4 linked regions of the Rhinolophus ferrumequinum genome follow. The protein of the gene in region 3 purifies or fractionates together with the protein of the main gene of each other region. This does not show direct contact. Links are inferred from orthologs where the notes say so. Each region holds a gene or a part of one and is shown on either strand. Other genes may lie near its edges. The genes, in order: ARGLU1, SNRPD3, SNRNP70 and CDC5L.

What was found.
Region 1: the proteins of SNRNP70 (region 3) and ARGLU1 purify together in Homo sapiens (affinity purification with mass spectrometry; 3 studies listed by BioGRID and IntAct, with this or other methods). This does not show direct contact. The link is inferred for Rhinolophus ferrumequinum from reciprocal best matches to the Homo sapiens genes SNRNP70 and ARGLU1.
Region 2: the proteins of SNRNP70 (region 3) and SNRPD3 purify together in Homo sapiens (affinity purification with mass spectrometry; 6 studies listed by BioGRID and IntAct, counting the BioPlex papers as one, with this or other methods). This does not show direct contact. The link is inferred for Rhinolophus ferrumequinum from reciprocal best matches to the Homo sapiens genes SNRNP70 and SNRPD3.
Region 4: the proteins of SNRNP70 (region 3) and CDC5L purify together in Homo sapiens (affinity purification with mass spectrometry; 3 studies listed by BioGRID and IntAct, counting the BioPlex papers as one, with this or other methods). This does not show direct contact. The link is inferred for Rhinolophus ferrumequinum from reciprocal best matches to the Homo sapiens genes SNRNP70 and CDC5L.

Annotation. Positions count from the first base shown.
Region 1 is NC_046287.1:50,686,554-50,694,211, reverse strand, and holds the start of ARGLU1 (arginine and glutamate-rich protein 1), read left to right. Parts: upstream 1-4,317; 5' UTR 4,318-4,561; coding exon 4,562-4,908; intron 4,909-7,658. UniProt on the Homo sapiens protein: Dual function regulator of gene expression; regulator of transcription and modulator of alternative splicing. General coactivator of nuclear receptor-induced gene expression, including genes activated by the glucocorticoid receptor NR3C1.
Region 2 is NC_046308.1:22,251,191-22,258,735, forward strand, and holds the start of SNRPD3 (small nuclear ribonucleoprotein Sm D3), read left to right. Parts: upstream 1-4,065; 5' UTR 4,066-4,686; intron 4,687-6,066; 5' UTR 6,067-6,084; coding exon 6,085-6,210; intron 6,211-7,545. Other genes in the region: protein GUCD1, read right to left, coding at 3,521-3,563. UniProt on the Homo sapiens protein: Plays a role in pre-mRNA splicing as a core component of the spliceosomal U1, U2, U4 and U5 small nuclear ribonucleoproteins (snRNPs), the building blocks of the spliceosome.
Region 3 is NC_046298.1:44,386,486-44,394,590, reverse strand, and holds the start of SNRNP70 (U1 small nuclear ribonucleoprotein 70 kDa), read right to left. Parts: upstream 3,178-8,105; 5' UTR 2,931-3,177; intron 2,184-2,930; 5' UTR 2,174-2,183; coding exon 2,027-2,173; intron 624-2,026; coding exon 561-623; intron 455-560; coding exon 400-454; intron 1-399. UniProt on the Homo sapiens protein: Component of the spliceosomal U1 snRNP, which is essential for recognition of the pre-mRNA 5' splice-site and the subsequent assembly of the spliceosome. SNRNP70 binds to the loop I region of U1-snRNA.
Region 4 is NC_046286.1:13,593,514-13,601,554, forward strand, and holds the start of CDC5L (cell division cycle 5-like protein), read left to right. Parts: upstream 1-4,538; 5' UTR 4,539-4,657; coding exon 4,658-4,702; intron 4,703-6,989; coding exon 6,990-7,093; intron 7,094-8,041.

The sequences.
Region 1 (7,658 bases), on a different chromosome or scaffold from region 3:
AAGATAATTTTTGGAAGCTAGTTTTGCTGATTTTATTGCCAGAGCTGTGATGGAAATCAGTTTTTCTACGTTCAAACTATGTAATATTCTGTAATTTTGAATTGCCTGAACCAATTTTAAAAGGAGCAGTGTTTTAAGTTTTCTAGGGGTAACCAGATAATGCATCCCATGTTTACTCATTCAAATTACATTTTGTTGAATCCTTCCCGTGTGCAAGGTACTAGGCCCAAGACAGAAAAACAGAAATGAACAAATCAGACATGGGCACTCCTCTCCCCACCCCTCAAGAAGTTCACCTTTTCACGAGTGATGAATATTAAATAACTAACATTTCTTTAAAAATCACAAATGCAAAAAGTGCTGCCAATGAGAACTAACTTGCTGAGGGGCAAGGACTTGAATGGGGTAGGGAAGGATGGCGATGAATGGGGTTTAGCTCAGGAAAGGGTTAGGGAGATGATTTTCTAAGAAACAAGAAAGACTGATTGGTTGATAAATGAGCTATGGGGAGATTGGAACCTGGTGCCCACGGGCTCCACCTATATGTTAAGCGTAGGTATAAATCTATGAGCAACTAGCGCAGTATTTGCACAAAATAGGCACTTAGTATTTATGACCCAAATAAATGATGCTTCATCAACATGTTACAGGATACATCTCAAATTCTGAAAAGTTGGTTGAGGATTGGTAATTTAAGAATAAGTAGGAAAGATATTCCATCTCCTGGGTATTTTTTACATTAGAAGATTGTTCTTTAGAATGATCTGTTTTTGAATGATATGTTATTTACATTTGGCTATTGTAATTATTCAGAGATGAACTGAGGAAACACTTAATGGGAGAAGAGAATGGAAAAGAGGAGGCAACAGGAAATTTAAACCGTCTAAAAACAAAACAACAGAAATAAAACCAAACTCATACTCAAAATAAAAGCCACTCAAATCTTATTCAGTCAGTGTACGTTTATCGAGGTTAGCATGCCAACCCAGTAGTTTCAATGAACACAAAACCACCAAGATCTCTAGAACTGGATTCCAGTGGCAGAAGATAATCAATACACAAGTAAATTCATTTGAAAAAAAAAAAGACAAATTCAGGGAGTGTGGAATGCCGAGATTTTGATAATTATAAAGTGGAGGCACGGAATGTTTGTGTCCCTTATTCCTTTACTGCATCCTCAGAGGTAATCCCTCCTAATTCGGGGCCTTGGATTTTGATGCACCTTTGTTTTCCAGGTTTTTTTTGTTTGTTTGTCTGTGTGTTTTTTTTTTAGGGTGAGCAAGAAGACATGGCTTGAGGTGGATAAATAGCATCCTCTTTTAAAAGTTCTGTAAGTTATCTTAGAGCCAACCCCAGTATACATAGAATTCAAATAAAAAGATTATTTGCTTTGTAAGCAACTTTAGGCTAAGCTTCCCAGTTCATTCCTCCAATTCTAGATCTTTCTATGTAATGTGTAGCTATCATTCACATAGATAAATATAAACACACAAATATGCTTTTGGAAACAAAAATGAGATTGCGATCTACAATTCTACAACTTTCCTTTTTCACCTACTAGCCATAATTATACTGAGGACATCTTTGCACATCAGTCCATATAGATCTGTATTGCTGGACCATTAACATTTAGATTGTTTTCAATTATCTGCCATTCAACCAATGCTGAGATAAATAGTCTTATATACGAGGTATGTACAAAAAGTATGGCGAATGTTTAAATTAAAAGAAGATTATTATGGTAAAAGACACATTGCCATTAATCCCCCTCAAAATACTCCCCCTTGCTTCAAACACGCTTATCCCATCATTCTTGCCACTTTCTGAAGCAGTTCTGGAAGTCCTCTTTCGTGTCTTTAGTTGCACTGTCGTGGATGCCTCGATGTCCTGAATCGATTCAAAACATTTACCTTTCAGGGTCATTTTGACTTTGGGGAAGAGCCAGAAGTCGCATGGTGCCAGATCCGGTGTACAAGGTGGATGAGGACACACCGAAATGTTTTTATTTGACAGAAATTGCCATATACCAGAAGCAATGTGTGACACGGAGCATTGTCATGATGGAGGATGATTTATGGCACACTTTAAAACTCACCTTCTCTCAACCTTAGCTCATACCCAACTGACTGCACCGAACAAGTTGAACTTGTCACAAACTGTTACTAAGGTTTGACACGCCACTTCCCATATTGAAGATTCCTGCCTTTCTGAAAGTTGGATGGCACTCGGCAGGAGCATTCATCGTATTTTTTTTTATCACACCTTGTATTGTTATATCATAAGTATTGTGGTGTTTTATCTGTGGGACAAAGTCTTGGAAGTGAGAATGATGGGTCAAGGGTTATAAAAAGTTAAAATGTTGATAGACATGTTCAAATTACACCCTAAAAAGGTTGTAATAAACTATTAACAGTATATATGGGTGTTTGTCATCAACACCTCTCTTCTTCACCTTACTAACACTTTATTTATAATTTTTAAAGTAATTGTCAATTACAGGAAAACACACACAAATAATTGCTATTTAAATTTGCATTTACCTGGTTATTAGTGAGATTTAGATTCTTTTAACAGGTTTTTTTAATCAGTTGTATTTTTTTTCTGTGAATGGCTTATTTATACCCTTTGCTCATTTTTCTGTTGAGTTGTTTCTATTTCTCTTATTGGTTATTAGGAACTTTTTATATACTAACGATATCAATGCCTTTTTGCTAAATATTGCCAAGTATTTTCTCTCAAAATTGTCTTTTATTTACATAGATAAACATATTAACTTATTTATTTATACCAGTGTTTCTCAAACTATGGTTGGTGAAATGCATACAAGAGAATCATGTGGGGTACTTATTAGAAATGGAGGTTCTGGGCCCCAAGCACTATATGAGAATCTCTGGCAGAGCCATTGCTTCATAGTCACTTATTCTAATTTCCTAAATGATTATATTTTTTAATGATATTTTAAGCATCTGAATATATTTAGACTTCTAACCATCTTAGTTTTTGTTCCTGTTATGATGCAAAAAATCCCTTTATTAGTTTTGTAAAATACCACATACTTATTATAAAGAATTAACGACATGCAGAAAAATACTAAGAAAAAAAAGGTTTTAAAAAGATTCAACTGTAGTTGATTAAACAGTATCCCCCCCAAAATTCATGTGACTCGGACATGTAACTTTATTTGGAAATAAGGTCTTTGCAGATGTAATTAAGAAAGATGAGGTCAAAATGATGAGGGTGGGTCCTAATTTAATCATCAGAATCACTACACAAAAAGGACAGACACAGTAACTGCCATGGGAATACAGAGACTAGATTGGAAACCAGGGGACGTCGAGGAATGCCAAGGATTGCCAGCAACCACCAGAAGTTAAGAGATGCATGGAACAGATTCTCCCTCAGAGACTCCTAAAGAACCAACCTTGCTGACATCTTTTATTTTGGACTTCTGGACTCCAGAACTGTTAAGTGAGGAAGTTCCTGTTACTGTATACCACCAGTTTGTGGTGTTCCAGGAAACCATATACCAACTAACTGGAAATAACTGTCTTTAACATTAGCTGGGCATCATTCCAGCCTTTTACTGAACTCAGTTTTAAGATTGAGGCACCTAGATTTTCAAGGTTTCCTATCATCTATGAATAGTAATGCCGTCTTTTATTTTGGGGGCTTGACAGCAATAGTTTGTTGTACCATATAGGGTCACAGCTGTCCTGGCTAAGATTTGTTGGGCTTATCAGTTATGTGCAGGGGCTTTGCAACATACACACTTCTGCTCTGCCACCTGCTAGCTGTGTGACCGCGCAACTTCTTTACCCTCTGACCTTAGCGTCCCCATCACTAAAATGAGAATTAAAACGCCAGTTAATAAATGCAATGCACTTAAAACAACGCCTGGCACATGAAGCCCTACGTTAAGCATTGGCTTCCACTTATCAAAGCCTACTTTATCTCTTGTAAGCTTCACAACCACCTCATAAAATGTGGTTATCTCCATTGCACAAATGAGCAAGCTAAGCAGAGAGGCAAGTGATCTGGTCAGGGTCACTCTGACATAATTTAAGTCTGCCTGACAAAAGCAGCTCCTAGAAAATGAAGCAGTCAGTTCGTGACGAGGCAAGACTTCGTTCGCACCAAACATCCTACCAGAAAGCAAAATGCACTAAAGCAGAAACGAGGGACTCCAGCTCCCACGCCGCAGGCTGGCGCGGAGACTGGCGGAAGGAGCCGACCGCGTTCGGAAGCGCTCGCCTCGCCTTCGGCAAGGATCGTCGGGGGCGGGGCTCGCGCGACGGCGCGTTCCGCGCGTGGCATTGTGGGAAGGGCGGCCGGTGCAGCCCCGGCTGCCATCTTAGCAACTCCTGGTGTTGCGGCCTGCTCGTCGGAGGTGGCCTTCGTGGCGGCGGTCTACCTCAGAGAGTGACAGAAAATCAGCTGGCTGACAGTTTTCCTGCCCCCAGCTTCAACAGGACGGGCAGCCTGCGTCTGGAGGTGGAGGCGAGAGCAGCCAGGCGCGTGCGGGGCCCGAGGCCAGCGGTTAGTCACAGCGTCCCCCGGAAGGATGGGCCGGTCTCGGAGCCGGAGCTCGTCCCGCTCCAAACACACCAAGAGCAGCAAACACAACAAGAAGCGGAGCCGGTCCCGGTCGCGTTCCCGGGACAAGGAGCGCGTGCGGAAGCGCTCCAAATCCCGGGAAAGTAAACGGAACCGGCGGCGGGAGTCGCGGTCCCGCTCGCGTTCCACTAACACGGCCGTATCCCGGCGCGAGCGGGACCGGGAGCGCGCCTCGTCCCCGCCGGACCGCATCGACATCTTCGGGCGCACGGTGAGCAAGCGCAGCAGCCTGGACGAGAAGCAGAAGCGAGAGGAGGAGGAGAAGAAAGCGGAGTTCGAGCGGCAGCGAAAAATGTGAGCGCCCGCGGGGGAGGGGCGGGGGCCGGGAGGCAAGCTGGGGGGGGCGGGGAGAGAGGGGAATGGGGACGCGGGAACCCGCGCGAGAGGCTGCGGCACGGGTGTGTGGAAAGCCTCGGGCAGGACAGACCCACGAGTTGGTTGGGAAGGGAAATCGTGGAGCTTGAGCTGGAAAGGTTTAGCGGGGAGAAAGCGATTTTGGCGCGAGAGGGGAGGAGAGTGCCGGAAGTAGGGGGTGGAGTTCGGAGTGGGTTGGAGAGCTGCGTCGGCCAAGGGGCGAAGAATTAGCCAGTCTGAAGACGTGTCTGGAGAGTGTTTGCAGGCCCGCTGGAGAAGAGCAGAAAGGAATTAAGCGGTGGGATGCAAATCGCAGCTGGCCAGAGTGTTCTTGTGTTGCGGCTTGAATTGGGGACTGGGCTTCTCAGGAATAAGGCACTTGAGGTGCTCCGACAGTATATACCCAAAAATGCATTTTAATGTATTCCTGTTAAAATTATGTCTCGGTCAGTTTTCTCGGGTCTCCTCAGTTTTGTTTTGTTTTTAGAGGCGTAAAAACGAAATGCACAAACCTTAAGTGTACAGTACGATGAGTTTTGACGCTTGAATTCACCTTGCTAACCACCATCCCAAAGCCTACTCATTTTACTTTTAATTAATATTGATTATAGTCTTCTGTAGCAAACTTCGGTGCAATCCTGATACTCGTTCCCCCTTGTATACTTAGACACTTGAACATTCGCTTTTATTTTTGTGTTTTTTACATGCAGACTTCTATGTAAGGAAAATCAGAGTCACAGGTTCCCAGTTTGACATACTGTTTGGGTAAAATGTATTTCTGGAAAGAGCCACCTCTCAAAAGTAGGTGTAAATAATTCCAAACTAATGAACTTTTGAGTTTAAAATGTAGTGTTTGGTTTAAGACTATGGTACTCTGCTCTGAATATTCCTTCCTCACAGACCTATTGAAAGATAGGGTTAGACAAACGTGTGCACTTCCCCTATTTAACCACTATCTTCCTCAGTTCTTCATTGCATGTTTAGAAATTGCTCATGAGGCTGGAAAAACTGAATTTAGAATTTTCCTGAGATAAATATATGTGTACTGAATTATCTAGGGGTGTAAATTTTTTCTGCAGTTAGGTTTGTACTCTGTAGGCTTTCCAGCAGTTTGTTTCTAAGAGCAAAGTTATTAAGAGGTAGGAGACAGGAGCACTAACTAATAAATGTTATAGTGGAAGCAATACCTGGAGAGGTGTTTTGCTGCATCCCTTTAAAACATGCACAACACTTGCATCTTTCCTTAGAAATGTCAATTACACACACACACACACACGAAGTACAAGTAGTTTCACAACAAACCATTATTACATAGAATCCAGTTGTTTTGGTCTGGAATAAGATTAACTTAAAAGATGTTGCTCTCAAATAACTACCAACAGATGGACATTTAAAAAAAAAATAAGATATCTCTGAGATAATTTTTCCATGTGAAAACAAAGGAGCCCTCCAAAGAGTGATGATTTGCCATTCACTAGAAAGCTAAGCCTTGTAGGAAAAGTGAAAGGAAATGTGGTATGTGGAGAATAATTAGAGCCATTTAGCAAGCTGCACATTGAGAGCAGAGAAGAAATCCAGGGATGAAAATGAGAGAATAGAGCAGCTACGTAGTTCCAAGTGATAGAAAAGGCAAACTACCATTAGTACTTACCAAGGAGGGAGGGGGCAGAGCTAACAGCCACCTACCTGTACATTGAATTTCTGTATGCTCTGCAGCAGGCACTATTTAATGTGGGTCTAATGCCTTAGAAATAATGCAAAGGAAACAATGGAAAGACCTAGGTTTTGGAGCCATGAGCCATGAGAATTGGAAGAAGTCATATGTCTGCAAATCCCTGTTGGTTAGTTCATTCACCTAATATTTATTGAGCATTTAATGTGCCAGGCGCTGTGCTAGGTGCTGTTAATAGAAAGATGATTGGAACCCTCTCCAAGATCTTGATCTAGCTTGAAGATAGATACAGATAGGTAGGTAAGTACTAATTCCAGTGTGATTCAGTGACGGTGATGTGAGTAGAAAGGAAGCATCTTGGATGGGTAAAATACCTGTTCTCTTAAGTGGGTCACAGATAAAAGAAGAGACTGTCCAACTTAGGCATAGGAGGATATATATTCGTATGTGGACCAAAGGAGAGTCCCCTCTACCCCTGCCTGAATAAAGGGAGGAGGGGCAGAATGGTAAAAAGATGAATGTTATTGAAATAGGAAGTACTACAAGCATTAATGTCACGGAGTTATTAGGGACGTAAAATAGAGGCTGGGAATCATGGGAAGATGTTGTATGCCATATTAAGGAGCTTGGATTTCATCCTAAAAACAGGAAAGGCTTTAATTTAAGCAGGTAAATGTGGGAGCTTTTTTTTTTTTTTAACTTACCCTCTGTATAAGGATAGAACTCGTTACATTTACATTAAGTCTATACAGGAGTAATGTGGGAGCAGTAGTTAGAATGGAAAAGAGGAAAAGATGTACAAACCGTTTAGAACAAATAAAATTGGATGTGAAACAAGGGACAAAAAGCATTAATATTAGCTCTCATGTTTTTATATTGTGGCTATTACATCTCAGCCATCAAATGTTTAAGTAACTACTATGTGTCAGACACTGGTTAAAATGTCAGAAACCCAGTGGATAGGGGAGAGGGGAAATTCAAAGGGAATTTCCACTGTGAACACTAATTTTTTGGAGTT
Region 2 (7,545 bases), on a different chromosome or scaffold from region 3:
CAAAGTTCAGAGTCTAAAGGACCAGGAGGAACTTCCCTTCAGTAGTCACCACCACTCACTGCTCGCTCATGACACCCATTCAGGACATGAAAAGCCTGCCCACATTGTTTCCTCACCTCAGGTCTCTGGGGCCTTTCTTGAACCCAAGACCAGCCGGTGCAGAGCCGTCCCGGGAGCCTGCCTGCCCCCCACTGCATGCCCCCAGCATGAGGGCCACGCATTAGCCCTGGAGGCCATCCTCGCCTTCCGACCTACTGGCCTCGTCTGGGCAGTGCCTTCTTAAAAGGAGTCCCGTGCTCCTACTCTCCTGTGTCTAAATCCGCCCCCGCCCTCACGGCCTGGCACAGATGCCACCACTTCGGGGCCATCTCTGAAAAAGCCACGCCCTTTCCTTCATCGGCACTCCGCCAGGCCTGAGTTCACACTTTGCCTCCCAGAGGGGACCCTGGCACCGAGCTTGTCTGTGCCCTTCTGGGCCGTTGTACATTCCTAAGAGGCAGTGACCTGTGGCGGCTCCTTTGCTGCATGGTACTGGTCTCTCTCTCCAGACTCCTCACCCTCAAGGGCACGCAGCAGCGTGGGAGGCAGGATGGCATGGGCGAGGGCAGGCCACCCACTGGCTGAGTCACCTGAGAGGCACCTGACTTCCCTGAGCCTGCTTCCGCCTTTATGAAATGCACCATCACAGACACCAGCCAGCAAGGTGGTGGGAGCGCTCAGGGCAAGGAGGTGTGTAGAGCCCTTTGTGGGTGCTGATGTGAACCCTGCCTCCATCCAGCTGGGAGGGGGCCCGGCACACTGAGTCCAGGCCTGGCTGAGGCTTTGTTCCCTCCTTCCCCCGACCCCAGGTGCCTTTAAAAGGAACCCAGGCACTTCATTCAAGGCCTTCACACATTCTCCTCCTCCCATTGCCATGGATTCAGTGCTGAGGGCTTACTCCCGCCTGACCTTTGCCTGTCTTCTCCAAATTCCACCTCAGCTCCTCTGCCATCTCTGTACACAGAAGCCAGAGGGATGCCATCCATAGCGTCCCACTGCTCTTAGGATAAAGTTCTCACAATTTACCATAGCCTGCAGGCCCTGCCCAAGCAGGACCTACCAGCCTCATCTTTGCCTTTACCCCTCATTTACCCTGTTCCTGTTACTCTGGGCACCCATCGAGCTTCATTCCACTCCAGGGCCTTTGCACATACAGCTCTCTCTACCTGGAACTCTCTTTCCCTTGCTGTTCTTAAGGCTTCCCCTGATGGTCATTTCGGTCTCAGCTCAAAGTCTCCTCTTCAGAAATGCTTTTTCTGGCTACATCTTCAGAGTGAGGGAGCCCGCCGTCACAGCATGCTGTTTGTTTCCCTCACAGTACTTAGCAAAAGTCAGTCAGTCGATCAGGCTCTTCTGTCTCCCCACTAGCCTGGAAGCTTCCTGAGGGCAGAGAATTTGCTAATCTCGTTCACTGGTATTCCCAGTGCCTGGTGTCTGATGCTTAGTAGTAATTCAACATTTGTTGGAAGAAATGAACTTGTTGAGCACCCACCGTGTGTTAGGATCTGGGGACACTGTGTGACTAAGATCCAAACCCTGCCCTCCAGGGATTCATACTCTAAAATAATTCCCCCCAATGGGCTGAGTGGAGGAGAGCTCTATGCAGGGTATTGTCCCCCCATGGTGGGGTGCCTCCCTTTTCAAGAATTCCCTGTGGACATAAACGGCCTTTGTGTTTTTCTCTACACAGGCTGTTTATTCCCCAGCCTTTCCTCTTATATATCCCTTAATTTGGAACGTTGTCTCCCATCTCTAAACGTCCGAATGCTCTGGTCCCTTTCCTTCTCTGAGACCCTCAATATGGATTATTTGAGGTGGTGTCCGTATTCCCCAGTGGACAAATGGAGAATTCTTCAGGGGTAGGTGGGGACAAGGTGGCATTTACCTCCTCCTAGCCCTCAGCCCAGAGCAGGCACCCAGACATGCTTGGTGACTGGAACATGCTTTTCCCCAAAGGCCTTATCCCTTGAGATGCCAGGGGCCTACCTGTCACCGCAATGCCCAGCACTCCCACCCCCAGGCTTCCAGACTACAGCCTGTTCATGGCTCCCTCCTTACTCTGTACCGCAGGCTCTGGTATGGACTAGCTGGGCTTTGAGTCTGTCTGTACTTTCTCCTATGCCCAGCTGTAAATGTGGCACAGGGCAGTTGCTCTGAGCTCTGCTGCCCCTTTTCTTCTTGCCCTGATCCTTTAAACTCCTTGATCCTGAGGTCCCGAAGAGCTGAACATCCCCTTGTGGCCGCCCCCAGTCTTGGCACCAGCAGGTCTGCCCATAGGGACCCACAGACACTCCTGTGGGGAATGATAAGAGTAGGCGAGGTCTTCCAAGCCCAAAGCTGCTACAAGATGTTGATGCCTGAAGCAAAGGGACTGTCCCACGTGAGAACTAGGGTCTGCCTAGAAGGCCCTGGCTGGCTTCAGTTGGCAGCTGTCACCAAGGAAGGAACGCAGCTCACTGGCCCTGAGTACTTAACCCCTCTCAGCCTCAGTCAGCTCATCCATAAAAGTGAAAATCACAAGGCAGCCTTCTTCATGGGGTGGTGATGAGGATTAACGAGGCACTGCATGTAAAACACAGCACAGTGCCTGCTAGAGAAAGCTCTCTGTGAAGGTGAGCCATTACTCCACTGACACTGAGGCTCAGGAAAAGCAAGCGCCTGGTCCGACATCACAGAGTTGGAGTAGGATGCAAATCCCAGGGTAGCATTAGACGGTACTCCTTGCTGCAAACGCAAGAGACCACTTCCTCGGGTGACACTGTGGTTCCACTGAGGCGTTAGTGTCAGGTTCCCACGCGCTCGCTCTTGTCCTCTCCCATGAGTTGGCAACTCACTTCAGAGTTTACTACGGTAGTACTACCACTACCACTGTCTCGTTCTCATCAACCCTGTGCCTTAAGCAGAGAAGAAATCACTCCTTTCCCCCTCCCCCACCTAGAGAAGCAAACTGAAGACCGTGACACTGAATGTCAGTCTTGGTTTCCACCCCAAAGGAACTCAGGCCACCTCGGCGCAGAAGGAACCAGAGGGTGAAGAACTGTACAGGACAAAACGCTGAGTCCGGGAGGCCAGGTAAGGGCCCTCCCATTGCTCTGTGCTCTCAGCAGTTCCTTGCGCTTCTAGGCCTTGGTTTCCCCAGGGGTCAGGATCTCCCAAGGCGACTCCAGCAGGACTTTTTGCTTCTGGGGAAGGTGGCGCCCCAGCCTCACACGCTGGGACCCTCCCCACCATGACCGCTACCAGAGCTGACTGGGGTCTCAGCCCTGGGAGTATCAGGAAACCCCAACTGACAGGGGCTGGAGGGTAGGGAACCAAGGCGGCTGCGTACACCTGGCCAAGTTTCGCTGGAAGCTCTATAGCCTCGCCGGAGGCGGCGGTCGGCCCAAGGTCGCGCGCGCGGCCGGACCCTGCCCCGCGCTGTGGAGGGGTGGGAGTACCCCTCGTTCCCGAGTGAGGGCTGGGCCCTCAGGGAGGCACTAACCGGGCTCGAGCGGCGACCCCGCTGCCTCCGCCTCCGTCCTCATGACCCGGGCGGCGCGGGGCGCCCATGGCCCCGGCCTGGCGCCGGCTGTAGCTTCGGCTGGGGCGGGAGTGGGACCGGAACGTGTAAGGCTCCTCCACCGCCACCTCCACCGCCAGCGCGGTGGGGAGAAGAAGAGGCGGTGGCAGAGCCTCCCCAAGCCCCGCCCCGGCCCCTCCAGGCCTCAGATCCTGGGACCCCGCCCCTTCCATAAGCTCCTCCCCTTCCCTGGGCCTCCAAAGAGGCCACCCCTTTCCCATCCCTCGTCCTATTACTAGAGGCCCCCCGCCTCCTGATCTAAGCCCGCCCGGGCCAGTCGCAGCCTTGGCTTTTGGTGACCCCGCCCCTTTCCCAGTTCTCGCGCAGACGCACAGGCCCTTCTCCGCCTCCGTTCCCGGGGAGCCCCGCCCCTCTCTGAGCCCCGCCCCGAAACCCTGTAGTCCAGCGAACATTGGCTCCCCAGAGGCTCTTCCCCTTAGCAAGCTCCACCTCTACTCACACCCGCTTCTTTGTCAGCCTCAGGTCCAAGGCCTGGTCCTGTGGCATAAATCGTTGGGCTTCGGGAGACCTAACCCTACTCCGAATCCCTGGGCCGGCACCCCCTCTTCTCTATACCTCAGTTTCCCTATCCGTATGGTGAAATTCGTCGCCTTGCTCAGGTCGCACTTACCTGGCAGTGCCGGGTTCCAAAGGTTAAATTGTGAGGGGAGATCCTAGCCTTCGGCCCTACCGCCTGCTGCCCCCGATCCGACGGCCCAGACCCTAGATCTCCGCCCTTGGATCCAGCCCGTCCCTGGTGGGGGGTGCTTGGAACCGCGAGTTCCCCTCTTCCCTTGACGGGCTGAAGGTCGGTATTTCGGGTGGCACCTGGGCCCCATCATCAACCCTCTTTTCTGGGGCCGGAACGATCGTACCAGAGCCCACGTTTCCTAGCCGGCGGGGTGAGGAGGAGGCGGAGGCGAGATCGCTCTCACCACTAGGAAAAGGAAGGGGTCGGGTTCTGCGCGCGGCATTTTGGGAACGCATGGTATTCTGGGAGAGCGGAATCCGCCATTCGCTCGCCTCACGCCGTCGGAGTCGCCTGAGACACCGCAGCCGCGCGGGAAAGGAAGAGGAGACCGGAACCGGTGAGGAAAGGCCAGGGGCAGGCGAGGGTAGGCCGAGACACCCGTGAGGGGCCGGGGGCTGGAGGACGCACAGCCATGGAGCTCTGCGTGGCTCGGGGAGGGAGAAGAGCGGGAAGCCTGGGCCACCCAAACATCAGCGTCGCCTCACTAGCGCCTGGAAGTGAGTTTATTAGCTTTTCCCCAAAGTACATGCTCTTCATTTTCTATACCTCTCCAGGTCTGTTTTTCGAAGTGTGCAGGCAATAGTCTTGAAATCATTTCTGACTGATTGCCTCCATCCTCCATTCAGGCGCTGGTGCCCCGTGCTTTCCACACTGGTACAGAAGTTTTATCACGTTCCCCTGCTTCTTAACTGTGTTTGATCCATTTTATAAGTGCTGCTACCTTTTTGTTGGATTATTCCTTACATATAATCTTGCAGTGGTCCTTCGCTGTTTTCAGCCTAAAATCCACACTCCTAAGGCTCCTCTCCAAGGGAGCCGGCGTGTTTTTCCCAACCTCGTGTTCCTTTTCCTTTCTTGAACACACATGGTGCTTTCCAGCCTTTAGTCGTTGTTCATTTTGGAGTTAAAAAACCCTTCACTTGTCTCGTTCAATTAGGTCAAGCCAGGCGCTTGCCCTGATTGTTTCTCTTCCAATAAAAGCATTTCCTGCTTCTAGCACATTGTCACTCTGTGAACACTTTGATATTTTCTCTTTAGCCTTGATGGTGAAGTGGAGGGTCAAAGGGCATAGAATGGGTTAAATTAAATACACAACCTCTTCCAGATTTGCCTGCATCCTTTGGTCTATATGAGCAGTGCTTAGTAATACTGTATATATGTATGCCCAACACTAGCCACATGTGGCCATTGAGCACTTGAAATGTTGCTAATATGACTGAGGGACTGAGTTTTTTAAATTTTATTTCATTTTAATTAAGTTTAATTTAAATGGCTACATGTGGACAGTGATTGCTGTCTTGGACAGCTCGGGTTTATATCATGGGTTCTCAAAATGGTGTCACCTACAGCTCTGGGTTGACAAATACATTGTAAGGTAATGCATGCCACCCCCCTTGCCCCCAAACACACAGAATTGATTGATGGTTATTTGGTGAAGATAAAGGGACATAGGATAGCAGGGAGGAAGATGGAAGGTACTTTTCATTCCCATTAGATTTCCCTCTACCCGGGCTTCCATTCCTCCCCACCCCACATGTTCCATGTATTTTTTCAGATAGGTACCTCAAGCTAGATGTTAAGCTTTTTTTGTAGAAAATGCAGCTGAGACATCTTTGCTAAGTTTTATGGAGTGTCAGGCCTTAAGGGAGGCATGGTATGTGCCACATGCCTTCTCAGGCCCTGAAAGATGAACTAACTGTTGTCTCTCCCACTGTAGAACTCTCTTCCTGCCAAGATGTCTATTGGTGTGCCGATTAAAGTTCTACATGAGGCGGAGGGTCACATTGTGACGTGTGAGACAAACACTGGTGAGGTGTACCGTGGGAAGCTCATTGAGGCGGAAGACAACATGAACTGCCAGGTATCCTGCTTTGTACATGAGACTGGAGAAAGCTTGTGTCTCTGTCTTGCGGGACAGAAAGATGGTGACTGGAGGTCTTTTTGAAGTTCTCATTGAACAGTTCCTTACTGAGTGCCTAATGTGTGCCAGAGACTGGTATAGGTGCGGGCATATGGGCATGAATAAGAGCCATTCAGAAGTTTGGAATATTTAACTTTGTCCTTTGTCCCATATTTGGGGGACTGTTTAAGAGAAGTGGCACTGCTCCCTTTGTTGGAATCCTTCAGGTTCAGACCATTATCCATTTGCCCCCACATATTTGCATAATGCTTTGCAGTTAGCAAAATCTTACACTCACATAATGTGCTTATTTGCCAGTTTTCTTGAGGGGAAGAATTTCATTTGATTATAGCAACTACCTTTCGAGGTAAATGGGTTTGGTGGGAGTTTTGTCATCCATAAAATAGGGAGAATAAGATTAAAGGACTCATCTAGTGAATGTCACCCTGCTAATAAATGTTGGAGCAGCTTCCTGATGTGGTGTTCTTCCCGTGGCACTACTTTGCTTTTAATAATCACAAGAATCTGTATAACATTACAAAGTGTATCCGCACACTTTCTCCTTTGTTCTTTAAACCATCAGTTAAGAGCTTGGGCTTTGGAATCATGTTGGTTTGAATCCTGATTATACGACCATAGCCATGTTAATCACCTCAGTTTCCTCATCAGTAAAATGGGAATAGTGTTACTTTGGGTCCTCTGTGATGTAGATGCCAAAACTGAGGAGAGTAGCATGGGGCAGAAATGGCCTGGCTCTAGTACCCCCGCTGTGGCCAGTCATTGGCTGGCAGCCTGCGGAGAGAGTGGCCTCGGGGTGTATGTATGCTGTAGTGGATACCAAAGGTGGCAGCTGGAGCTTGTCAGCTCCCTGCATTCCTCACAGCCTGTTGTCCCTTGAAGGGAAACCTCAGCAGAGCTGCAAAGATTGCCACAGAGATAACGCCTACACACCCCAGGGCTATTCTAAAAATCAGATGAATTGTGTGTGAGCAACACGTAGCTCAGGTGAGAAAACTGGAGGTCAAAGAGATAAAGTGACTTAACCCAAGGTCGCACTGTGGATCAGGTGTCCTAACTATTCCTTGCTTCCTAGGGTCATTCATTTATTTGTGGTATCTCTGTAGCTTTCAGCATCATCTTCCTGCCAGGTTGACCAGCTGGGGCAGTACCCTGGCATTCAGGGAGATGGGCATCTGGTGGCTGCTGATTTCTCTCCCTTGGTAGTAATGCCACAGAGATGGGTGGTGTGGACTCTCTAAAGGTCCTGTGGCTCCTGGCTTCCTTTGCTTTTGTGGG
Region 3 (8,105 bases):
CAAAATCTGGTTAATTGCTATAAGTATGGGTCACTGCTCCCAATTCCTCCTGTGCCTGGAAGGAATGGAACAGTGAGCTAAGGTGGAGCCAGGACTGCCTCACTGCCGGGACCTCACTGCCTTAGCCTGTGAGACCCAGCTGGGCTGTGGCAGCCCCTCCAACCGCACGCCCCTGCAGTACGTAGCCCAAGTACCACCGCTCTCCCTTCCTGCCAATCCTAACTCCGCACTCTCCAGCTTAAATGCCTAAACCAAACAGAGCTTGGCAAACGGTGAGGGCTAAAAAGTGAACTGACCACCCCACTTTCCGAAAATAGGGAGGGACCTGGGGTTGACTTGGGGGAGAGAAACACAAGAGGGTTTGAAGAAGAAATCTGAGAGAATGAGAGAGAGACTTACACATTTTTAACTCTGTCTCCACTTCCTGCTGTCGCCGCTCAATCTTTTCCCGCCTCTGTCAGGAGATAGACAATTCAATGCAGATGGAAGTGCCCTGATGTCAAGGAACGTTCTTGAGAAGTGGCAAAAAAGACAGGGCCAGGAGGCAAAATATTACATACCTTTCTCTCCATGCGTTCCTCCCGAGTTTCTGCTCGTGTGGGAGGAGGGGCATCTCGAGGGTCCTGGGAACAAGAGGAGAGATGACATGGAGGGAGTGACTGGGGAAATGGCAAGGGACACCTACCCATCCAGGAAATAAGCATCTCAGCCATGTACCACTCCCATACACACACAAATAAGCAAACAAACAAGGACAGTTCCCAGGCCAGTGGAGGCGGGGGAGTGGTGAAGACCAAAGCACGGTCCATGGACCAATGCTATCAGCAAACTGTCACTGGTCTGCGACAAAAGTAGTACAGAAATCGGTAGTAAGTAGTATTCGGAAACTTCTACAGCAATGTGATGAGAGTTTTTATACCTGTAAAACTTGATAAAAATTTTATCTTCTATTTTGTAGTCTTTGAAAATGCTAGAAAAATGAAAATAATTCCTTTGTGTTTATCAAGAGCACCAATCTGCAATAGATTTGTCCTTTATCACAGATCAAATTCAGGACTAGGCCTGAAGTGAAAGGAGCCAACAGTGCAGTGCTCAAAAGCAGACAACTGGACACCCTCTGAGGGCCAACGCAGTTCCTGAAGGTCACCAACCACTCATTAAATAGTAACTGGCACATGGCTCATATCACCGAAGGGTGTCACTAGCCTGTAGCCATTAAATTAGTGTAACTGGCTACTAACATTACCTAAGTGCTGGTTCACTGAGGATGGCAAATCCTACTAGAGAGCCAATCTTCTATTATCTATGAACTTCTGCTATGCGACTTTCTTCACCTCCAGCTGCCCATTCCCCCTCAATGCCAGAACTTCCTTCTTCCGACTTCTGGCTGTGTGCCAGCATTTCTCAGGTGTGCTCTGATGCACCTTAAGAGGTGGATGTTGTTATCCCCCGTTTACGAATAAAAAAAACTGAGGCCCAGGAACCTAAGTCGTGTAGTCATGTTTATCCAGAGGGAGCCGAGCTGAAGTTCGGCAGTCCTGTGGCCTTAAGCGCCCTATCACACAGTGCTAACCGTTCATGAATGTCACCAAATTAATATCAGAAACATAACAATAACATCAATATTTGCTGACAGCCAAGCCCCATAACATATATCTTGCAGTTAAATACCCATCATGAGAAAAATAATATTATCCCCTTGCTAAGAATGAAAAAATCAATGCACTAAGAGGATACACCACTTGCCCAAGGTCACACAGCTGATAAATGGTGTGTGCGAGCCAAGGGATCACCTAACTCCAGAGTCTGAATCCTCAACTGCTAGTTAACTGAATTTTCACAAAAACCCAACAAGGGATCTATTATCAACTCCATTTACGACAGACAAACTAAGGATCATAAAGAATAAATCACGTGCCTAAGTCACACAGCTAGAAAACCGCCAGATACTGGAATCCCAAATCCAGAACAGCCTCCCCAAGACCCCCAGAACGCAAACCACTCCAAGTCTGCTCAGTGAACTCACCTCAAACTCTCGGATGTAGGGTGCAATGCCACAGTAAGGTTGATTGTGGTGTTTTTCATGTGGCAGTTTCTCCAGGGGTGGCAGGTATGGGATGGGGTCACGGGGCGCAAAGAGGGCCAGAAGGTTGGGCGGCAGGAACTGAGTCATCTTGCCAAGTCTGAGAACAGAAGCGAACCAGCCTTATGTTAGGATGGGCTGGTAGAGATGAGCTCCTATAATCCCTTATTCCCAAGAAAAGAGGGAAATGGGGTAAAGTCTTCGTATTAAAATAGGTTCTGTAAGGGCACGGCGTAATCCTACGTCACTAGGAAAAAAAGTAAATGTGAATGAGAAAGCAAGTTCTTGGAAGAGGGCTGTGTGTGGGTGGGGCAAGTCCCGTAAGGGAAACAAAGACTGAAAAAGGTTTCTAGGTAGTCTCAGCGTCCTGAGCCAGGAACTGTGGAGCTGAGAGGTCCCCTGGGGGATTATAGGAAAAACAAGGATCCTGACAGCGGTCCAGAGCAGTAGCGGCTGGTGGTCCCATACCTTGGAGAACAAGGCGAGGATCGCAGGAGGTCTCTGATCAACGGGAGAGGGTCATAATTAGCAAACCCCTAAAGCCAAGGGCTTGTGGGTAATAGATCTTGCCCCCCCCAAAGGCGAAAGGAATTATGGGTAAGGGTCCAGGACTCAGCGGCGACAGGAAAAAGGCAACGCATCGCAAGGGCCTGTGGGTAAGGGACCACGGGAGCGCTATGGGAGGAGGGCCTAAATGCCCAAGGTTCTAGCTAGGTAACGGGGTACAAAAAGGTGCTGTGGCGGTAGCGCGGGAAGTGGGCCCGGTTGAGGGAAAGAGACCGGGGCCCACCGCGGGGACTTGTGGGTAGCAGCCCCGCACCCGGTAAGGCCACTCAGTCACACTCACCCGCCGCGCGGCGCCCTCCTCGACCTGACGACGGTCCGAGGGCTCGCGGCGGCTGCGGCGGCCCCTCAGCAGAAGGGACTCCTGCTCTGGCTTGGACTCCAGCGGCGTCCGCGCTCTCCTGCCTCCGCCGCCAGCTCAGCGCGCGCACCAGGCCGCTGCTCAGGAGCCCGCGCGGCCTCGGTTGGCGACAGGGGCAAAAGGTGGAACCAGCCTCAAATCCCTCCGCCGCGCGCACTGCGCACGCGCCGCGCGAGACAAGCCCCTGCCCACACTCACGGACCGGTCGCAGCTGTGGGCACTGCGCACGCGCGAGATCACTGCCCCGCCTTCCGGCACCTTAAATTCTTGCCGCGGCCGGCTGGAGCTCGCAGTACGCACGCGCGCTTTTCACCAAGCATTGCGCCTCGGCCTCGCGCTCTGTACTCCAACTGCCTGTGTCCGCGAGACTTTACTCGGTACCCCGCCCCTTTCCCCAAACACACTTCCCCGAGTCTTGTGCGCATGCGTGAATCGTTATGTACCGTGTGTACCCTTCCGCTGCCTGGCAAAAAGTCCGCATGTGACTAGTATGATTACTTAGATGCCTAACCCTTAAAATCAATAATTGCTCACCGAGCGCCTAATGTATGCTAGGCATTGTTTGAACTTCGGGAATATAGCACGTGGCTAAAGCAAAGCCTTGTCCTCTTGGAGCTTACATTGTACTGGGGGAGACAATAAAGGCATTTAAAAGAGTAAATATAATTTCGGATAATGGCCTGCACAATAAAGAAAAATAGGGCAGTGTAAGTGGATGGGCAATGAGAGCAGGGCTATTTTAGAGAGGTTGTTAATGGAAGGCCCTTCTGACGAGATGACATTTGAACAAAGGCCCTGTGGAAGGGAGACCTGGGCGGGACTAACAGCAAGTGCAAAGGCCCTGATTTAAGGACAACTGGCAGAAATCCCACTTTGTGGACCTTGAGATCAGAGAGCTGGCAGCTGTGTTATTTAGGGCCCTGTATACCTGCAAAGAGTTCAATATTGTATTTTAAGGTTTTTTTTGAATAGATTCAATTGCCTGTTTAATGATAATTACAGAAAATTATTACAAAATTTAAGTGACCAATTTCATGTTTCAAGAAACGAGTAATATAAGAGCACATTCTTTCAAAAATATTTTGACATATTTGCTTTATGTATGTATGTGGGAACTCTGCACTATTTTTTGGAGCTTTACTGTAATTCTAAAATTATTTCAAAATAAAATTTAAAGAAAATAAACAAAGCTAAATGCCTTAATAATGTATTTTTTTTCTGTACCATTTGAAAGGAAATTGCTGAGGCACTTCACCTCTAAATGCTTCAGTATATGTCTTCTAAGAATATGGCCAATTCTCCTACATAACCACAAAATTACTTTCACCCCTAAGAAAGTTTTCCCAACTGACCCAAGAATATTTTGTTTTGATCCAAACCAGGAGCCAGTCAAGGTTCACACATTGCATTAGTTGTCATATCTCCTTGTTTTAATATAGAATAGATCCACACACGCACACACACTTTTTTCCCCATTATGTTGGTTTTTCCCAGAGGTCAGACTAGTTTCCAGTTAAATGTCCCATAATCTAGATTTGTCTGATTGTTTCCTTCTATTGTTTAGTTTGTTGCACGCCCCCGGCTTTGCCTATACAACGGACATTGAGTCTGAAGGTTTGAATAGACTGAAGCATTTTTGGCAAGAACATTTTCCTGGTGCTACTTCAGAAGTCATATTGTATCAGATCTGGAGGTTCATAATGTCAAATGGTTCCCCTATTAGGATGCTGAGTTTGGTCACCTCGTCAAGGATATAACTGCCAGATCTCTCTTTATAAAGGTACATTTTCCCTTTGGTAATCTGAGCAGTGAAGCTTTGCAAATATTCTGTTCCCCAACCATCTCTCACCTCACGATTGTAGCAACCATTGCTGATCCTTGCCTGAATCAAGTATTACATGGGGGAGAGGACAGATTATCGTTGAAATGAAATAGGAAGTAACTAAAGCGTTTTGATCACGAGGACGTAATCTAATATATATATATATATTTAAAGATCACTTTAATGCATTTTTAAAAATGCAGCGAAGGAGCTCAAACAGAAACAGGGAGATAGTTACCATGTTTCCCCGAAAAAAAGACCTAGTTGGACAATCAGCTCTAATGCATCTCCTGGAGCAAAAATTAATATAAGACCTGGTTTTGTATTATATTATATAAGACCCGGTCTTATGTTATAGTAAAATAAGACCGGGTCTTATATTAATGTTTGCTCCAAAAGACTCATTAGAGCTGATTGTCCGGCTAGGTCTTATTTTTGGGGAAACATGGTAGGAGGCTACAATTTCCAGGGAAGAGATGGTGACTTGGACCGAGACAGTAGCAGTGAGGTGGAAAGAAGTGGTGGGATTCGGGATATATTGTGAAAGTAGAGCTCACTTATTCAGTTGCTGTAAGAGTGGGAGTAGAGTGTATAGAAAAGAGAGAAGTCAAAACTAACTCCTAGAGAAAATTAAGGAGACAATCAAATGCAATGTGGAATCCTGGATTAGATTCTGAACCAGAAAAAGAACATCCATGGGAGAGGTGAAATTCGTCAGGTCTACAGTATTATTGGTTAATAGTATTATATCAATTTTAATTTCCTGACAAATAATTGTACTTGGTCATGTAAGAAGTTGACATTGGTGGAAGCTGGGTGAAGGATATATGGGAGCTCTGTACTATTTTTGTAACATTTCTATAAGTCTGAAATCATTTCAGAGTAACAAGTTTAAAGAACAATTTTAAGGGCCGGCCCGGTGGCTCAGGTGGTTGAAGTGCCGGGCTCCTAATGCCGAGGTTGCCAGTTCAATTCCCACATGGGCCAGTGAGCTGCGCCCTCTACAGCTAAGATTGTGAACAAGGCTCTCCCTGGAGCTGGGCTGCTACAGGCTGCAGTGTGCTGCTGGCTACTGACTGCCTCCCGGTGGCGGGGGAGGGAAGCGCAAGGCTTGTAATACCAGCATGTGCCAGAGAGCTGTGTCCTATACAACTAGACTGAGAAACAACGGCTTGAACCAAGTGTGGTGGGGCGGGGCGGGGGGGCAGGAGAAGGGGGAAAAAATGAAGCTAATCTCCCCTTAATAATAGTCCTTAATAATAGACTCACTCCTACATTTGTAGACTGAGCAATTTGGTAATTGATAGTGCTATTTCTCTAGAGATGAGGGAAGGCATAGGGAAGAGTGGGGTTATGGAGGAGGAGTTGTGGGCTTAGACATGTCAGAGAGGCCCATTTGACACTCATATGCAGTTGTGGAGTTGAAAGTTGGGACATACGGTAATTACAGAAGAGTCGGGGGCTGGAAAACCCAGATTTGGGGGTTATTGGAATAAAGATAGTATTTGAAGCCATGCGATCAATGAGCTCACCTAGGAGATGAGAGAAGATAGAGAAGGGGAGAAGTCTGAGCACCGAGTCCCAAGGCCCTCCACCATTTAGAGTTTAGATAAAGCAGGAAGAACCAGCAAAAGAGACTGAGTGGGAGTGATCACGAATTTTGGAGGAAAACTGGGGTAGTGAGGGGTCCAGGAAGCCAAGAAGGAAAATGCTTCAAGGAGGCAGTGTTCAGTGTGTCCAATGCAAAAGGTAAGGACTGAAGTTTGGCAACCATAGGTGACCTTGACAAGACAATGGGAGGGAGGTGAAGGGAAGACCTCAAGTAGGGAAAATTCTTCAGAGAAGTTTTGCTACAAAGAGAGCAGAGAGAGGTGATAAGAGCAGGAGAGGGAAGTAGAGTCAAGGAGGTTTTTTTTTAAGATAGAAAAGATATTAAGATAAAAAGTCTTATGATACATTTGTCTGCTGATGGCAAAAAAAGTTACTTATACACCTATCATGGCCACTCTTAACTACTTACTTATCTTATTCATGAGACCTGGAAACTTATGTCCACACAAAAACATGTACAAGGATTTTTACATCAGCTTTATTCATAATCACCAAAAATGAAATGTAACTTAAATGTCCTTCATAGAGTGAATGGATAAACAGATGGGTGTGTATCCATGCCTTAGAATACAACCGAGAGTTAAGAAAGTTAAGAAAGAAAGACCTACTGATACCACAGGAATGAATCTTCATTTTATTAAGTGAAAGAAGCCAGATTCAAAGGCTATCTACTGCATGGTTTCATTTATTTGACATTCTGGAAAAAACAAAACTACAGGGACAGAGGGAGAGAAAACAGAGCAGTAAGTAGTTTCCATGAGCAGGAAACCGGGGGTGGGGCGGGGTGCAGAGGAGAGCGGTTGACTGACTACAAAGGGAAGGAGGAAACTCTAGGAAAGGGGTGGGACTTTTCTATATTTTGATTCGAGTGGCAGTTACATGTCTGTATACATTTGCCAAGACTCATAGAAATGTACACTATAAAGGGTAAATTTTATTGTATGTAAATTAAACCTTGATAAACTTGACTGAGCACAAAACATGGCTCCCCTAAATAGTCATTAATTACAAGGGGAAAAATACAAACTTTACAATGGAGAAACCCAGCAGACACTACCCTAACCAAGTGATCAAAGTGAACATTACCAATGATAAGACATATCAATATTGTGCCCCCTATATGATGTGATGAGAGGGGAATTTTGTGTCTGTGGCATGCTCCCCCACAGAAAAAACCAACACTATAATCTCAATCTAATCACAGTAAAACACAAAATGAGAGACAGTCTCCAAAATAACTGACCAGTATTCTTCAAAAGCGTTGAGGTGATTAAAGACAAGGAAAAAGTAAGAAACGATCAGATTGCAGGTGACTAAGGAGACATGACAACTAAATGCAACATGGTATCCTGGATTGGATCGTACAATGGAGAAAGGACATTAGTGGGAAAACGGAGGCAATCTGAAAGTCACTTAGTCAATAGTATTGTACCAGTGTCAATTTCTTAGTTTTAATGCAGGTGGTATGGCAATGTAAGATGCCAACATTAGGGGACATTGGGCGTAGGATATTCACAAATTGTGCTATCTTTGCAATTTTGTTTTACGTTTTTCCAGTTTTTAAACGAATTTCTGATGTACAAAACAATGCAATAGTTAGACATTTCACCCCTCACAAAGTGATAACCTCCCTCCCCCAATCTATTGCCCCTCTGACATCGTAT
Region 4 (8,041 bases), on a different chromosome or scaffold from region 3:
CTCTTAGGCATTTGGACCTCAAAAGGTAGGTAGGTAAAAGCCTTGTTTACAGGATTTGACTCGGTGAAGTATTTTAGAGTTGGAACTCTTCAAGATCATGACACTGGCCCAAAGAGGCTTTTCTTTCCTGGCTGGAAAATCAGGAGAGCGTGATATCTCAGCAATGTGCCAACTATGGTATGGTGCACCTTTTAGGGGGGCTGCTGGCCAAGTTCCCAGTGGGCTTTGGGAAAGGATATGGGAACCGGTTTGAGATGCCTGGTTCCTTTCAATGCTGGGAAACGCAAGGAGGGGTTATAGCCTGAGCCCACCCTGGAGCGTGTGGCAGCCACTGCTGAATTGAGGAGCCAGCATCGAAGCTTCCAAACCTGGGCTTTGTGAGAAACACGTACATGCCAAGTGAACACTTCTTGTTCATGAAGGAACCCAGCCTCAGATCAAATAAGAAGCCTAATATCCCGGGGACTTGTTTTCTGAGGAACTATGGCTGCCTCTCCAAATATGGAGAGGGTGTGGGGGGCCGCTTCTGGTGGTGATGGGGGTGAGCCTGGGTGTGATCATCTGGCTAGAAATGTGTTCTTTTGGTCGGGTGCAGTGTGGGCTGGAGTAAAAATTGGGGTTCCCTTAGAAAGGGAGGACAGAATGGATGCATGAGGCGTAACTATACTAAAATTATTTGTTGTTTACCTGAAATTCAAATGTAAGTGGGAGTTCGATATTTTTATTTGCTAAATCTGGCAACTTACAGCAGAGGTGGCACAAAGGAGAGGGATTTGAGGGCTACGTAGGAGGCAAGAGGTAAAAGTGGCAAGACTCTACATGGGATGGCTTGGATATGGGTGGAGGAAGGTATGGGAGGAGGAAAAGTGGCAGCAAGATGGATGTTGGTGCTGTCGACAGGGTAACATGTAGAGTCTACCCCTGTGGTATCTTTATACACTTCGAGAAAGATGTCCTCTTGGTGAACACAGTCCCACAATGTACCACTTGAGCAGTGTGCAAACTGGATTTCAGCTCCATTTGTCCCTTGTGCAGTGAACTACTTAAACCCCCGTACACGGCAGCTGGCAGCCTTCTGCTATTCACTGAAATAAGGAATCCCGTGGAGAAGTATAGATTTTCTGGGGGAAGTTCAATTTTGGGAAGTTGAAATTGAGGAGCCTGTGACTCACACAGGAAGAACCGTCCAGAATTTTGTTGGGCATTTAAGTCTGGGGTCTGGTATATGCATGTGAAAAAAAAAAAGTCTCTTGTGAGAAATGTAAATCCCAAGTCTGTGCCATGTGGATGCAGGGTCTAAATATAAATTACCCGACTGGAATATTAATCCTAAAATGAGAAATGAGCTCAAAAAGACCCTTGAACCTCTGGGGCCTGAGAAAAAAAATAAATTCTCTTTGGGAACACTTCCCCACCTGAGGGCACAGGGGACTCCCTAGAAATAACACTCATGAAGATGAGCTTCTGAGAAAAAAATTACAAACTACAGCTGGACCTACCACAGGGAAGTCTCAGTAGGTGAACCTCAAGCCAATTAGTATGATTAACCATGGTTAGCAATACAATGTGAATTACCAGCATTTAGGGTGCATGGGATTCCATTTTGTAATAACTTGACACCCAGACATTAATTTTTTCCAACACTAGCTGAGGAATTTCTAAATGGGAGGGAGGGGCTTAGGGATGGCAGTCTGGTAGATGGGGTAGGGCTAGAAGACTGTTTTGAAACTGTGTTTGCAAAGCAGCACAGTGTTTCTAGTTAAATTCCACCTGTTTATTTGGGGAGATGACGAAGATTATGGGAGTGGCTAATCCCAGCCCCTAACCATGCCTTGTTATCATAGGCTTTTGACCCTTTTTTTTTTAGCCCTTTTCTGGACAGTTTCTTGATGCAAAAAACAGGATGAAACAGAAACTAGAATTTTGATTGTTTTCTCTAATAAGCAAAGTTAGCCCAGTCAGAACCAGCTTCCCAAAAAGGGATGTGGGGTGGGGGATAATGCAACCTACAAAACCCTCCTGCTAACATCTCTTGTTACCTCTTTGTAAGCTGGATGGACCTCCAACCTCTTTCCCCTGGGCCAGAATTTCCCAAATTGTGTTTCCTGCATGTCAATAGCTACTATAAGAAAAAAGTTTTCCAGGGTCAAATTCGTTTGGAAAAGCCATATTAAAAAGGGAGGGTAGTGGTTTCCTAGGGCTGCCATAACAAAGTACCACAAACTGGGTGGCTTAAAATGAGAAATTTATTCTCTCACACACTATTTTGGAGGCTGGAAGTCTGAAATCAAGGTGTCAGTCAGGTTGGTTCCTTCTTGGGGGCTCAGAGGGAGAATATATTCCATGCCTCTCTCTTAAGCTTCTGGTGTTGCTGGCAATCCTTGGTGTTCCTTGGCTTGTAGATTCATCACTCCAACCTCTGCCTCCTTTACAAACTGTTTTCCCTGTGTGTCCACATCGCTTCTTTTTATAAGGACACCAGTGATTGGATTAGGGCCCACCTTACTTCAGTATGACTTCATCCTTAGCTTGATTACATCAGTAAAGACTCTATTTCCAAATATGGTCATACATATAGGTACCAGGGATTAGGACTTTGCACATATCTGTTTGGGGGATATAATTCAACCCACAATAGGGAGAAAACGATTTCTTCATCTTATAACTTCTTACAGGCTTTAATTTTGGTGACTCTGTGAAAGGGAGCTGACAGAGCGTACTGCTTTTTTCAAATTCAAGTAATTGTGAAAAATTTGTTTATTTTAATGGAGTATCCCAGTGTTCTGAGGAATATATTTGGGTGAGTGAGGAAGAAGTGGAGGCTCTTTCTCATTAAGCCTCTGTTTAGGAATGACCACTCCCTTTCCTAAAGGTTCACAATGACAGAAGGTACAGTTTGATTTACTGATGGTGACTGTTCCTCATGGCTGCCTTGTAAAAGATTTTTGGCAGCCCCTGGGGTGAGCTGGCCTCTTTGTGGGGGCCCTGAGGTCTGGCTGGGGAGGCTGGGGTGACATGGTGGGTTGGACTGGCCAATCCAGGCCATGCTGGAGGACAGCCTCTGGTGTTCATGGCTATGGGGCGCTGGTTTGAGACATCCCAGAACTGGTACGATGTTGCATTTTCTGAATGCTAACATGGAACATGCAACTTGCATGTTCAGGGAGGCCTTGGGGGATATCTGACAGGGTTGCTCTGTCTGAATGGGCAGGTTGTATAACGCATGCCCCTAGGGGAACCGATTCACATTGTAGATATGGTAGATCTAATTTTCTTATAGTTAAGAATGTCCTGTTCTCAAAACATTAGTATTTTGCGACGGTTTTCCAACAGATGTCAATAAAGTGCCTTGAAGAAAGGGCACCTTTTTCTAGTTGGTATAAAGTTGGTATAAATGGGGTAGAGGCGGTCCTGAGGGGGAAGGAAACACCATCATCATGGTGTTTGATCTGAAATGCTAGATCTGAAATGGCTCTCGAGAGGACTAGATTTGTTAGGAATCGTGCTTACAAATAATAGAAACCCAACTTCAACAGGCTAAAGCCCAAATGGGAACTATTCATTAGAACTCAAAACAGGGATGCATTTAGGACTGTTTTGAGGAACATACTGCATCTAGGGTCTTCTGTGTAGCCAGGACCTACCTGTCTCTCTACACTCCTGTCTTGCTCCTCTTAATGCATCTGGCACCTGCTTTTCCCCCATTTTAGTCTACATCGTACAAAACATGGTGGCTGACAACTCCTGGGTGTCACATATTAAGAGATTCATCAAACCAGCAGAGAGACTGGCCTCTTCTAGGTTCCAGTGTCAAAATTCCTGGGGAGAAGACTTAATTGGCTCAGCTTTGATCAGATAAATCAAACAGCCAGTATGTGCATGCGTGTGTGTGACACTGTAAGCACAGCAACTGAGATGATGTTGGGTGTGGAGAGGGCAGGAGGTAATGATCACACATCCTACAGAGGGTTTCTGGGACAACCACTGATCACGTGGGGTTGCCCTTCTTGTAATGATATGACATTTTGAGTAGTTACCATGTATCAGATACTGTGCTAGGTTTATGATCTCATTTAATCCCTAGGACAACCTTATGAGGTTGGTACTATTATTATCTCTACAGGTTAGGAAATTTCGGCTTAAATAAGCTCTTGCCTTTTCCTGAGTACTCCGTGCATAAATTCCTATGAGTTAAACGCCTAATAAAGTGATAAATTAATAATTTAAAAAGCTCTTTTCCGATCAACTGGGCTGAAACTCCACACGCATGATGTGCCCACTCTCCTCCACTAGGTGACGTCACGGCCAATCCCACCACCACGTTCCTTCTCGCGAAGATCGTGCTTTTCCTCCACCCTTCTTTGGCCGTGCGCGCCGCCTAGTGCGCTTTGGCCAGAGTGGATCGACGGTTTTCTGTTGGTCTTCCTATATTAGAATTTTAACAAGGCACTTTATTTTCCTTGCAGCCACCCGAATTCTCGCGATACTTGCAACTCTGCTTTCCCCCCCCCCCGCCCCGCCTTGCGCCTGCGCAGATCTTTACAAAGGAGAAGGTCGCGCCTGGAGGAAGTGGTGCCTTTGGGTCCCGTGGCCGCAGCGCCGTTACTACTTTTCTGAAGCTCCTCTCGGCCGCTTGCCGAGACACCCCACCGCCAAGATGCCGCGAATTATGATTAAGGGGGGCGTATGGAGGAATACCGAGGTAAGTCTCCTTTTCCCGCCGTCCGCTGCCCTTCGCCCCCTCCGGCAGCTTGTGCGCACGCGCGCGGAGGTGGGCGAGGAGGGGAGGATGCCCTGCGGGGTCTGCGTGGGGGAGGCGCGGGCTGGACCCTCCGGCCTTTCGTTCCCGACCCTGCGTTATCCGAGCACTTCAAGGACGGGGACCGTGATTTAACCACCTGACTACCTGCCAGGCACTTGTTAGGCCCCCCAGTGAACACCTCTTGAATTGAGGACGCGCCCCTCTCGCTGGAGGAACTCAAGAGTATGGAGGGGAAGAAGGGACATCAGCGAGAGTCGGTCTCCTGGGCACTTCCGTGCCTGAGCCCGGACACCGCGCCTCTCTTTGATACTCACAAATAAAGAAGTGCTGTGGCCACAACTTTGTTTCTTCATCGACTTCCTTGCAAAGGGAAATAAGCTTGAGTGCCAGGTTCGAAGAGCCCGTTTATGCCCGCATACCGCTGGTTATCTGTTATCGAGGCATAACTTGCCTGCCCTCCCCACAGGTCCCAAGGCCTGTCTCTTCCTGTCACTCTTCCTCACCCTGGATAGAAGCCAGATGGGATCAACTGACTTCAGTAGTTTCTTTGCTTCCAGAAATGTAGTGGATAGTGCCAGGGGTGAGCCAAAGAGCAGCAGAGACGGAGTAAAATAGAGATAAGGTGTTAGCCCAGTTTGTGTTCCTGAGTGCACCGAATTTGTCAGTTTCTGGAGCACATCGTATCTTTTCATGATCTGTGTCTTTTTATATCTTGTGCTTTCTTTAAATATCCTCCTACTACTTGGCATCTTCCGCCATCCTTCAAAACCTCTTCTTGGAAGTTTTGCCCATTCAGCCTGTAAACATTAGTCGCACCCCAGTGGTCCCATGGCTCTTCTCTCATCCATTTGTTATAGCTTGCTTTGTCCTTTTGCAGGCATCACATCCTTCTAGGTAATGCTGCGTACGTTTTTTTAACTTATCACAACCTCAGTTTTCTCATCTTTCTTATGGGGATCATAATAGCTGTCTCTTGAGGTAGATTAAATGAGTCTATGTATTTGGATCATTTAGAACAGAATCTGGCACATAGTGGTCTTTCCGTAAGTGCTACTTGCTATTTCTTTCCCCCAGCAGACAGCACTGGAAGAGAACCAGATCCCTAGAACCTAGGACAGTAACCAACAGGAAGTAGGTTGCTTGGCAAATGTTAGCAGAATGAATCTAATAGGGTAGATAACTTAGGTGAAGATGTGTTTAACTAGAGCAGTACTGCAACAAAGTTACAAGTAAAGTCAGTGATAACCTTGCATCATTGTACAGAGGGAACCAAGCCATTTAAACTGGAGAAGAGGTGACTTCTGGGGGAGAAACAGATGTACAAAATCAAGTAACAGCAGGACTCCCCTCCAGTGGCTGAAGCCCTGCAGTCTTTTTTAATCTCTGAGGATGGGAAAGTGGAGTGGGGTGGAAGAGCTCATGTGTGAGGCATATAGCTCAAGTTCAATGTGGGAAAAACCCTAAAAGCAAAATGCCCCCAAGTGCGTTCGTCTATGGCTCTGTTATCCCTGTTGTCTTTGGCTTAGCTTGCTGGGCTCCTCTGGGATTGGTTAATTCCATATTGGAATGGGTGCCACGGTGAAATAGTGTCTAGATACTTGGGGAGGTTGGAGGCGGGGGAGAAATTCTTAATTATTAGGTTTGACCTGGGATGTGGATTCTTGGATCAGAGTGGGGGTTATGGAATTGGAGAGAAAATGCCGTTTGTAAACTGGAGGCAGGAAACCTAGATTGGAGAATGGAATCACTAGAGTCTTAACTTGCTACTTGAGGGTTGGATATGTCCAATTCAAAACCTGATATAAGGTAGGTGTTCAGGAAATGTTCTTTGAATGAATGAATGAATAAGTGAATGAGCTGTATAATTTTTGAGGAGAATGAGAGTCATACTTTGGAGAATACGTTTTGTTACCCTCTATCAAGTAGGGTTTCGTAGATTGGGCTTTACCCATCTCAGTTTATTGGGGGTGGAGGGAGAGGCTGTAAAGAAGGGTAGGGTGTCCTGAGAGATGTCTTCTTAGTTTCTTGCATTTTGCTGATTCTGGCTTGCTGTTTATTATGATAGTAAATGAGATTTTTGTACTTTTTTTTTTTTTTTAAAACCTAGGAGGTATGTGTGTCTTTCTCTTTCTTGCTTGCTACCCTGTCAGAGTTAATTTAAATTTTGTCTTTTCTCGCTTGGAGTTTTGTGATTAAATATGTTGTTTTTTTCTGACAATTCTTTAAGGATGAAATTCTGAAAGCAGCGGTAATGAAATATGGGAAAAACCAGTGGTCTAGGATTGCCTCACTGCTGCACAGAAAATCAGCAAAGCAGTGCAAAGCCAGATGGTATGTACCAGTTAATGAATGGAAAACAGAAAAACGACCTTAGTTAAAATGAGGAAAATGTCAGTTCTTTGAAGCTTATAAAAGAAAGCAGGCATTGTGATATAACAGAAAGGATGGAGTGGGAGATGGGGATTTAGATTTAAGACTTAGCTGTCACTTGCTTCCTATGTGATCTTAGGCAAGCTATTTTTCTGCCCTCTCTCCTGTGCCTGTTTTCTTCCAATTGGGTGATAATACATCTTGGCCTTAACTGCTGGAGATACGAGGCTCAAGTGAGTTAATGTGCTAAAGAGTACTTTGTGAAGCATAAAATAATTCTCCTTTTATTTAGAGATGGACTCCAGCTTATAAATCGTGTTCCCAAAGTTTTAAAAGTTGATTAGAACTTACTTTCCCAAAGAAATAAATGATAAATAATGGTTAATTTTCTAGGCTAGTTCACAGTAGTTTTCTCATAATACAGTTGAAATATTGTATATTTGCTCCCCCAAAGTATAACATAACCCAACACTGCACCTGGGGTGTCCTCTTTTAAGTCACAGAGTAGTGGACACACTAAACTTTCATAGGTGTTTGTGGCATGAGTGATCTGGCCCCAGCGCTGACCCATGTGGTACGAGGACCGTATTTTGAATTGTACAAGAATGACCTAATTTCCTAGGTGCCTGGGTAGGGGAAAGGATCAGAATGTAGAGGTTGGACCCCAAAGAAGAAGATGGTCCTGATTTCTGTTTCTCGTAGTGGAGCTAAGCCCCTGTCCTAATGTTTGGTAAGGCTTATATTTTCTTTGCCAGCCTCTCATCTTGCTAAGTAGAATGGGTGGAAAAGGTGGGTCGGGTGGGGTATTAGGAAAGACAGATCATGACGGTAGTTTTGCTTACATGTAAAAACACAGCAAACAAAAGCAGTGAATATTCTGTTGTAAAAAAAGAACAGCTTTCATAATTA